Bombyx mori: one gene and its partner. The protein of the gene in region 2 binds, or shares a complex with, the protein of the main gene of each other region. Links are inferred from orthologs where the notes say so. Each region holds a gene or a part of one and is shown on either strand. Other genes may lie near its edges.

What was found.
Region 1: the proteins of geranylgeranyl transferase type-2 subunit beta (region 2) and synaptobrevin homolog YKT6 are in contact, whole or in part, in a crystal structure (PDB 6J7F), measured with the Homo sapiens proteins. The link is inferred for Bombyx mori from reciprocal best matches to the Homo sapiens genes RABGGTB and YKT6. Residues at the interface, in NP_004573.2 of Homo sapiens: Thr3, Pro4, Gln5, Lys6, Asp7, Ile9, Lys11, Tyr37, Leu45, Trp52, Leu236, Asp238, Cys240, Arg281, Gly283, Asp284, Met285, Asp287, Phe289, His290; in NP_006546.1 of Homo sapiens: Lys60, Gln62, Asp63, Leu65, Asn83, Glu84, Tyr85, Pro86, Ser87, Leu153, Asn155, Thr156, Glu158, Arg189, Lys190, Cys194, Cys195.

What each region holds. Positions count from the first base shown.
Region 1 is NC_085124.1:7,755,660-7,760,124, reverse strand, and holds the start of synaptobrevin homolog YKT6, read right to left. Parts: upstream 2,942-4,465; 5' UTR 2,707-2,941; intron 2,600-2,706; 5' UTR 2,570-2,599; coding exon 1,973-2,569; 3' UTR 1-1,972. Other genes in the region: proteasome subunit beta type-2, read left to right, coding at 3,810-3,915, 4,118-4,311. UniProt on the Homo sapiens protein: Vesicular soluble NSF attachment protein receptor (v-SNARE) mediating vesicle docking and fusion to a specific acceptor cellular compartment. Functions in endoplasmic reticulum to Golgi transport; as part of a SNARE complex composed of GOSR1, GOSR2 and STX5.
Region 2 is NC_085123.1:2,128,331-2,132,894, reverse strand, and holds the start of geranylgeranyl transferase type-2 subunit beta, read right to left. Parts: upstream 2,954-4,564; 5' UTR 2,791-2,953; coding exon 2,597-2,790; intron 2,398-2,596; coding exon 2,280-2,397; intron 2,186-2,279; coding exon 2,092-2,185; intron 1,513-2,091; coding exon 1,342-1,512; intron 1-1,341. UniProt on the Homo sapiens protein: Catalyzes the transfer of a geranylgeranyl moiety from geranylgeranyl diphosphate to both cysteines of Rab proteins with the C-terminal sequence -XXCC, -XCXC and -CCXX, such as RAB1A, RAB3A, RAB5A and RAB7A.

The DNA of each region.
Region 1 (4,465 bases), on a different chromosome or scaffold from region 2:
TCACCAGTAAAAGGCTCACCGGTGAGCATCATGGCCTGAATGAAAATAGTCGATTTTTCATGTGGCGTTCAACATGTTAACGAAAAAGCAATATAAAAGATTCATGAGTATGAGCACAAAAATATCACGTCTTCATGTTGCCATTCAGGCAACTGACGCCAATACTAAATGATTTTCAATTGTTTATAGATGGTAAATATGATACTATAGTTACATTTGTTCCTGTTCTTTACTATTATTTTAATACCAAATGCTAGCTACAAACAGGCTCCCATGCCTTTGACAATATCTATATATTGCTATAAAGATGGCAATGGAAGCAAACATGATCATCACGATTTTATCCCATTGCATTATACAGAATTTGTTTCAGGCACTGTATGTAATGCATCCACCATGTGTAATCCTAAACGTGTGATTATGACCGACACCTCTGCAAGGGTTATGAATGAACTTTGGTTGTGACTGAATGAATAGTGTCACAGACTCACTAGATCAAACTTGTTTAGCAGTTGTGATGCAATTGAAGAATTGAATATTTTCAAAATATTAAACATTCTCAGTGCAATGTCTTTATATTTGCACATAATAAATAATATGCCTATAAACAAGCCTGCTGATAACGAATTTCTTAATTAAGAGCAGAACAGATCATTCTTGCCTGTTAAAATTAATGTCACGAATTCAACTCTTGAATGGCAATTTTCTCCTAATGGCTAGCTATTATCGGAATATTGTTACATCATCCCAACAGTTCAGATCAATTTTGCAAACTACTTCAACTTGTATAATATAATCGAATTTGATAAACTGCAGCATTTGATCAAATTTTTCTTTAATAACTGGCCTATACATTACCATTAATAATTTTTTCATACATAGATATATTTATTTTTTAACAACATCATTTTTGAGGAATGCAATAAGAAGACTTCATAATTCATAATTATAACATTTTTCTCTGAATTGTTAAACTTCTATTCCTATTTAACCATTTATCACTTAAATAAAGCTCACATTTAAATTTTAGTAAAAACCATGAAATAAGTCACTTTCACAATCTTTCTTTTCTAAGCTGTTATTGCAAATGTTTTGTGCATGGTTTTTTGTACATTATTGCAATGAAATCACACGATCCTTAACCCATTTATTAGACCTTAGACCAATACTGTAAGTCGACATTCATTGTGATGATGAAAATAATTCAAAATGTCTGCATCTGGACTTGTTTAACAATTGCAATTAAGACCAAAAATTTAATTAGTTAAGAATTCAAGTATACTACAGTAATCTGCAACAGAATAACAAGTTACAACATATGTACACTTGGTACCTTAGAGTTATTTTCATGATATACTATACTACTTTGGAATAATCAATTTTAATTAGTATGACATGATGACCCATTTGTAGTTTAAACATTAAACTCACTGCTCTTAAATTACTCAATAATATAAATAATAATGTTGTAATGTTAATAATTATGTTGCTCTCCAATTCTAACAAACCCAAAAGTCTTCAACTAATTTTTTTTTTTCTTGGCTCTTAGCCATAATTGTATGATTTAGAGTTACAATCATAATTTACAACACAAACGTAATCTCAAGAGGTAATAAAATAAATTATCCCTCTAAAATTTTTAAATTTTAGGAAACAAACTTCCAGACAAACATAAAAGGAAATTTCTTAAGGAAAAGATGATGATTCAATATTTGTTTGAACTTTTAATTCGATGGGTCAGGATAATTCTTCAAGCCTTTGCTAAAATTGGTTTTAGTATTTGTGGCTAGTTGCCACTCTCTTAGTGACAGGTTACAGATTAATCAGAGATACAATTATATTTTATAATCCCTAAAAGCTATATCAAACCTCATATAATTTTTTTAAATAGTACATAGCATTCAGCAACTATCAACAATACTACAATAGTTATGGCCATTTTTGTTAACAGTTAATCATAATAATATACTGTTCAAAAATTACAACAACTGTTAGTTTTTGCCGCAGTCTTATAAAATGCTTTACTGTGCATCGACAGGCTGTCTGACTTAGCAACCAAATCATCTAACTTCTCACCTCTCTCAAGTACAGCTTTTATTGTATCATGTAAAATAATTTTCGTTTCATCCAGATCATTTTGAATTTTCGTCAATGCATCAGCTTCTTTGGGATTTTGGTATTTTTCTAAATGTAAAGCCAATGATGGAAAATCAATTGTTGATTCTTTACCCGTAGCCCAAGTGCTTGATGGAACTGCAGCTGTAAACTCATCAAGAGTTTTAGTGATCAAAGTGTGTGCTACTCTGTTAGGATACTCGTGATCGGATATCAATACTCCAGCTAAATTATCTGCACGCACATACACTTGCAACATATACTCTCCTTCCTTAACTGATTGCCTTGATGCTGGATGTGTCCTCTCTACCATAGTTTTACTAACAAAAGTCATAAATTCTTGCACTGAACTTCTTTGAAAATAACTAAAACTCCGAAGATCATAAGCACCTTTCAGAATGGATGCATTATTAATCCCTTTGTACAATACAAGTAGTGCATAAACTTTCACCATTTTTGTTAGATAATTTTTATCGCTCGGTCTCTGAAAATTAAAACAGTTTTAATACAGAAAAACTACAAAAATAATGAAAAGTCTGAATTTTAAGAAATATATTAGAAGAATTCAAAATAAAAGAAAAAATATATTACCCAAGATTCAATAGCTCGTCGTTTAATTCGTCGTAAATGAGCCTTCTGAATGAATTTTACGTTTGTACAATCTTGGACGTGCTACAATATTAGATTACCCGAAATCAGACAAAAGTCTTAAAATTATTTTAATACATTTGTAAGATAATTTTTCTTCGTGAAATCGTAAAAAGTGATTTTTTACTATTTGGCCTTGGTTATTTGTCATAAATGTCTTAATGCCTACGTCATGAGAATATCTCTTTCACAGATTATTAAGAATTTTTTTAAGGGATTTTATGACCTGGTAACTAAGACCTAAGGGAGCTCATATAGAGTCCCTTCTTTATTTCGCCGTAGTCGTGTTTTATGTAATTAACACCACAGTTGAAACAATATAAATTTTATTGTTGTAGCGGCATAAACAATTCTAAGTAATTATATTACATTAGTTATTAAACACATTATAAATTATTTGTCGTTTTAAATATTTGGCGGTAAAAAGGTCCCGTGTCACAGACTATATTCTTTTTCCCACATCTCGTGCGTTCCGGCTTACGCATCATAAAAATGTGCGTTCATTAACGCCAGAGACCTTTAAGTCATGTTTTATTTTAATTTATTTTCTTATTTATATGAAAAATGATGAAATGAAATGAAGATTATTAATTCGAGACATTAATCAACTGGTATGAAATCAAATGAAATGAGATGAGATGATATGGGATGAAATATAATCTTAATAAAATGGTGGTCATCTACTGAGACTTTTTGGAGGATCCCGAGAAGTGACGTCCAGCAGCTTTGTTTCATTTTCCCACATTAGTGCACTTTCTTTTTTGTATTTTAACTACTTATTAATTCCTATCACATAGGTAAACGAAATATAGCTCCAACTTTTCTCCAAAAAACCGAAACCATGAATTACTACCAATACCAAGGTATGCACGCAACACTCTCAACACTGACAACACTGAAAGTGATTTGACAATTTATGAAATTTAAGGCCGCACAGGCAGAATAGCTAAGTTAATTAAGTAAATAATTCAGTTCAATTGATTGAAGTATCTCTATCTTGAAAAGACTATTTGCAGTGAAAGCTAATTAAGTAATACGACTGCAAAATGTCAAATATAAACTTACAATGTCTCTTAGGAATACAGTGCAACGACTTTGTTATGATAGCAGCCGATCAGAGCAACAGCCACAGCATTATGATCATGAAAGACGGTGAGTTTGCAAATTTGTAACAGAATCCTCTGTATTTTCAGATCAAATTAGTTTTATAAATAAAAACAGATCTAAAAACGGTTCAAGTAAACTTGTTAGGTTGCTTTTTGGCATTTTATTTGTACTAATGGAATCTAACTTCTAATACCAATTTTTCAAATAAACTATACTATATAATCAAAGTTTTTATTCTATTTTACAGATGAAGAAAAGATCTATAAGATATCTGATAGATTAGTAATGGGTGTCATTGGTGACTCAGGAGACACAAATCAATTTGCTGAATATATTGCAAAAAATATTCAGTTGTATAAAATGCGTAATGGGTATGAATTGGGGCCCTCAGCTGCAGCCAGTTTCACACGTCGTAATCTCGCAGAGTATCTTAGGAGCAGTGTAAGTTGTGTTTTTATTTCTATTATGATTGATTCATGACAGTTATTATTTTTCGGAGAGCTGAAGACTCAGTGGTATGAATTGAGATCTGTGTCGAGCAGTGGACGATTGTGCGTTGATGATGACGATGAACATTCTCCACAAAAAATCTTGA
Region 2 (4,564 bases):
AATTTTATTAATAACTAGCTGACCCGGCAAACGTTGTGTTGCCTTAAATAAGATTTCTAGAGAAATTCTACTGTAGAAAAAAAACCTCATTTAACCACATAATACCTCATTATAAACAAAAAAAAAATCCAAAAAATTAAAATAAAAAGTAAATGTTTGGGGTGGACAACCCTTTTCACTTAGGGGTATGAAAAATAGATAGTAGCCGATTCTCAGATCTACTGAACATACTATTGATACACAAATAAAACCAAAAAAACACGGCTGAAAAATGTATAGTATTGTGTATATAGCTCTTAAATATATTAAGTGTATAAATCTATGATGTATAGTGAGTAAGTAAGACAGGAGACCGGCTTCGTCCTCATCCCTACTACGTGATGTTTGCTGGATGAGTGGTGACACCTGGCGGGGATAGCTGATCGATTGATAGTTGATCAGTAGTCGACCGGCGAGGGCGGGAGATCAAATTGAATTTAAAAAAAATCATAATTGAAGAACTTGAAATTATAAACTCTGAATAAGAATTTATCGTACTACAATTATAATATTTGATTGCCATCTTGCAAACTTATTGCAGATCTGTGCATAGAATAAAAAAAAAATTAATCGGGATGGAAAAATAGGGGTTGATTGTATAAGAGTGAAAATTGACAGTAATATGATTTTTTTTTATTTTAAGTAATGACAAAACAAAATAAAAAACTTGACAAAAAAATTAAAGTTTATAATTAACAAATAAAAAAAGGGGTTGATCATAGAGGGATGAAAAATTGAGAGTAACATCAGATTTTTTATTTTAATTCATGACAAAATAAAAATAAAAATGAAAATCTTGCCAAAAAAATTAAAGTTAACAGATAAAAAATAGGGGTTGATCGTAGAGGGGTGAAAATTTCAGAGTAATATGAATTTTATTATTCTACGTCATGACAAAATAAAAACAAAATTCTCGCAAAAAAATTTAAAGTTTTTAATTAGCAAATAAAAAATTAGGGTTGATCGTAGAAGGGTGAAAATTGAGGATTGTATGTATTTTTGTATGTTGTATCATAAAAAAATAGAAATTAAAAATTTTGAATAAAAAATAAAAAAAATATTTAGGGGTGGACTACCCCTAACATTTAGGGGGATGAAAAATAGATGTTGGCTGATTCTCATAGATACCGGATAAGCACAAAAAATTTCATCAAAATCGGTCAAGCCGTTTCGGAGGAGTATGGCAACGAAAACTGTGACACGAGAATTTTATATATTAGATATTGAGAAAGATATGAATTTAATTTCAGAACTAAAATTATTTCTCAAAATGTACCAAATAAATAATCCGAAATTACTTACCAGCATGGCTTTCCGATCCAGGTTTGGAACCGAATCCACCATCAAAGTTCATGCAACTGAGCACAAACTCCACAGTCTTGTTGATGTCGATGGCATCCAATCGTTGTAAGAGTGATAGACACATTACCGCACAGAAAGAGAACCTAGTGTCTATTTCACCCCATTTGTCTCCTTTAAGCAACATAAAATAATTTGAATAATTTGGGTAGGTATTTAATCTAGCATTCTCTACTGTTTTCATGACTCATAGACATAATTAACCTTCTTTTTAGACTTTAATTTAACATTAAAGTTTAAATAGTATACTGGGATTATTTATATTCCGACTTTTCAAATATTTTACAGAAAAGTGTACTTATGTCTTTCTGTTTGAAAGTACATGTAAATATCAATATGCAATTATTATATAAGTTGAAATTTAGCACATTATTTAAATGTCCATGAATAACAGCTTAATAATGAAAATAACAAATGATTAGATTAAAATGTAAAAATATTTTTTAATTAGGAATATAATGTTTCGCAACACATTGCAAAGAATATTGTTGTTTTAATTTAATATACTATAACCAAATGCTCTTTGGATTTATTAAGTAAATTAATGTTTTCTTTAAAAAAAAGTAAATAGTAATGTTTGTATTTTATGACAAATATTCATTCATTTTAATGTAGTATGATATGAATAGTCAACAAATTTTAGATTATATTCTGATTTATTTATGAGAAGCAAGTGAAGATAATAATATTTACCATAAAAACTACCATCTTCTTGCTGTAAGGAAACTATGTATCTGACAATTCCTTCAATATCAACAGCATCTAATCTATCATACATCGCCAGTACCTGTTAACAAATAAAAGTAATGACAAACAAAATAAAAATATTACGTAACTTTATTCAAATTTTAAAATGATTTTCTGGTTGTTTCATGTTCTACCTGTACAGCACTTAATGTGTATAGTATGTGTGGATCATGTCCGATGCTAGCCGAGATACCTCCACTTTCACTATCTTGGCATTGTGTAATGAATTCTATTATATCTTCTTTAGGCATCCTGGAACAAAATTCCAGGTTTTACAACGCTTGTAGGACTCTCAAAGGCGACTTTCACTTTATTTTTATACAAGAATTAATTTTTAACCATGTTCATTGTTCAAATTTTACAAGGTTTATGTTGATTTAAGGTTGATATAATAATATGATTGATTGAGGTTAATAACGGGTAAAAATCATAATATAAATACTTTTGATACCTTGATGATTGTCCCATGAGTTCCATAGCAGTTAAACTCCAGTAAATACCGGACATTCTTAGATATTCGGTCATACAATACTCGTAGTCATCTTTATTTAAGCCGTAACTGGCTAAATAGTCGGAGTGCTTTTGTAAGAGTAAAGTTTTAGGTCGATCTTCTTTTAAGACAACATCTTTCGTTGTAAAAGACATTTTAAATTTTTATTCTATTGCAATGTACATTAAATTAAAAGCTACAATGTTTTGAAACGGGATGATAATATTTTGAGTTATCAGTCTATCTATCTATCTCTTAGGTTTATGGCGTTATGAGTTATCAGTCAGCATTTAAAGTTAGATGTCAAAAGTGACAGAGGGATTTTATGTCATTGTGACATTATGTTATTAAAGTTTTAACGTTTGGAAATTGTGGGAAAATAAAATATTTAGTCACTCAGAGTTCTACCTTATGGTAGAATCAACCGCTAAATCTTTTGGGGCCGGGCAACATATACAATAAATTGCAAGCCGGGTCTGTTATAATGGTCGAGTTGTAGTAATTTGACAAATTCAATTAATAGTACTGAAGAGCTTTTAGCTCGGGGCGATCGCCGGATAACGCTAGTGGCATAGTAGCACTTTAGCTAGCGATTTAACGCATCGGCTGGTTCGGGACGGGGAGTAGGGAAAGGGGGAACGGGGAAGGTTTTTTTTGCGGGTATTTTTTTATGATTGAAAGATTACTGGTGGCCCTAAGGCCTTTCCAGTTTCTCCAGAACAGGTGGGCGAGCAAAGGCTCAGCCAAGAGGGGTGGGATTTGCCTTTTGCGGGTATTACAGCTGAAGAACATAAGGAGAATTACGAAATAGGGAGAACTATACTCGCCTACACCACATAAACCACTTGATGATGCTAGACGAAAATGGTTACTGGATAATGGTTAATGAATATAACTATTGTCATACAAAGCCAAAGTTATGCCAGGCTATCGGGGCTTACTTCAAAAATATAAATTCAAACAACCAAAAATGTACGTAACCAGGAGCCACAACACAGGTCATTACCGATTACCTACTTTTTTTTTTATTGCTTAGATGGGTGGACGACCTCACAGCCCACCTGGCGTTAAGTGGTTACTGGAGCCCATAGACATCCATAACGTAAATGCGCCACCCACCTTTTTTTTTTTATTGCTTAGATGGGTGGACGAGCTCACAGCCCACCGGATGTTAAGTGGTTACTGGAGCCCATAGACATCTACAACATAAATGCGCCACCCACCTTGAGATATAAGTTCTAAGGGTCTCAGTATAGTTACAACGGCTGCCCCACCCTTCAAACCGAAACGCATTACTGCTTCACGGCAGAAATAGGCAGGGTGGTGGTATCTATCCGCGCGGACTCACAAGAGGTCCTATCACCAGTAATTACGCAAATTATAGTTTTGCGGGTTTCATTTTTATTACACGATGTTATTCCTTCACCGTGGAAATCAATCGTAAACATTTGTTGAGTACGTATTTCATTAGAAAAATTTGGTACCCGCCTGCGGGATTCGAACACCGGTGCATCGCTCAACACGAATGCACCGGACGTCTTATCCGTTAGGCCACGACGACTTCAGATACTACATAGATAAAAAACACCGAATCCTGATCACGCAGGAGCCAGTCACCGTCGACGCCCTAGACACGTCCCTACGGATCTATCAGATCCAATAACCTTTACATTAGACACCTTTAGCTCTAACACAGTAGGGACCTCGATAACCGTACTCGTCGAATTCGACAAAAAGTTCGATGTGCAACCTAACCTAAACATCAGCCCGTTGAGTTTCTCGCCGGATCTTCTCAGCGCGTCGCGATTCCGATCCGGTAGTAGATTAATTCGCGAAACAGTTGCTCTTGAGTTGTTAGGTCTCCTTTGGAGGCGCTCGGGTAGCTGTTAGCAAATCCCACCCCTTCTGGCTGAGCCCTTGCTCGCGAAC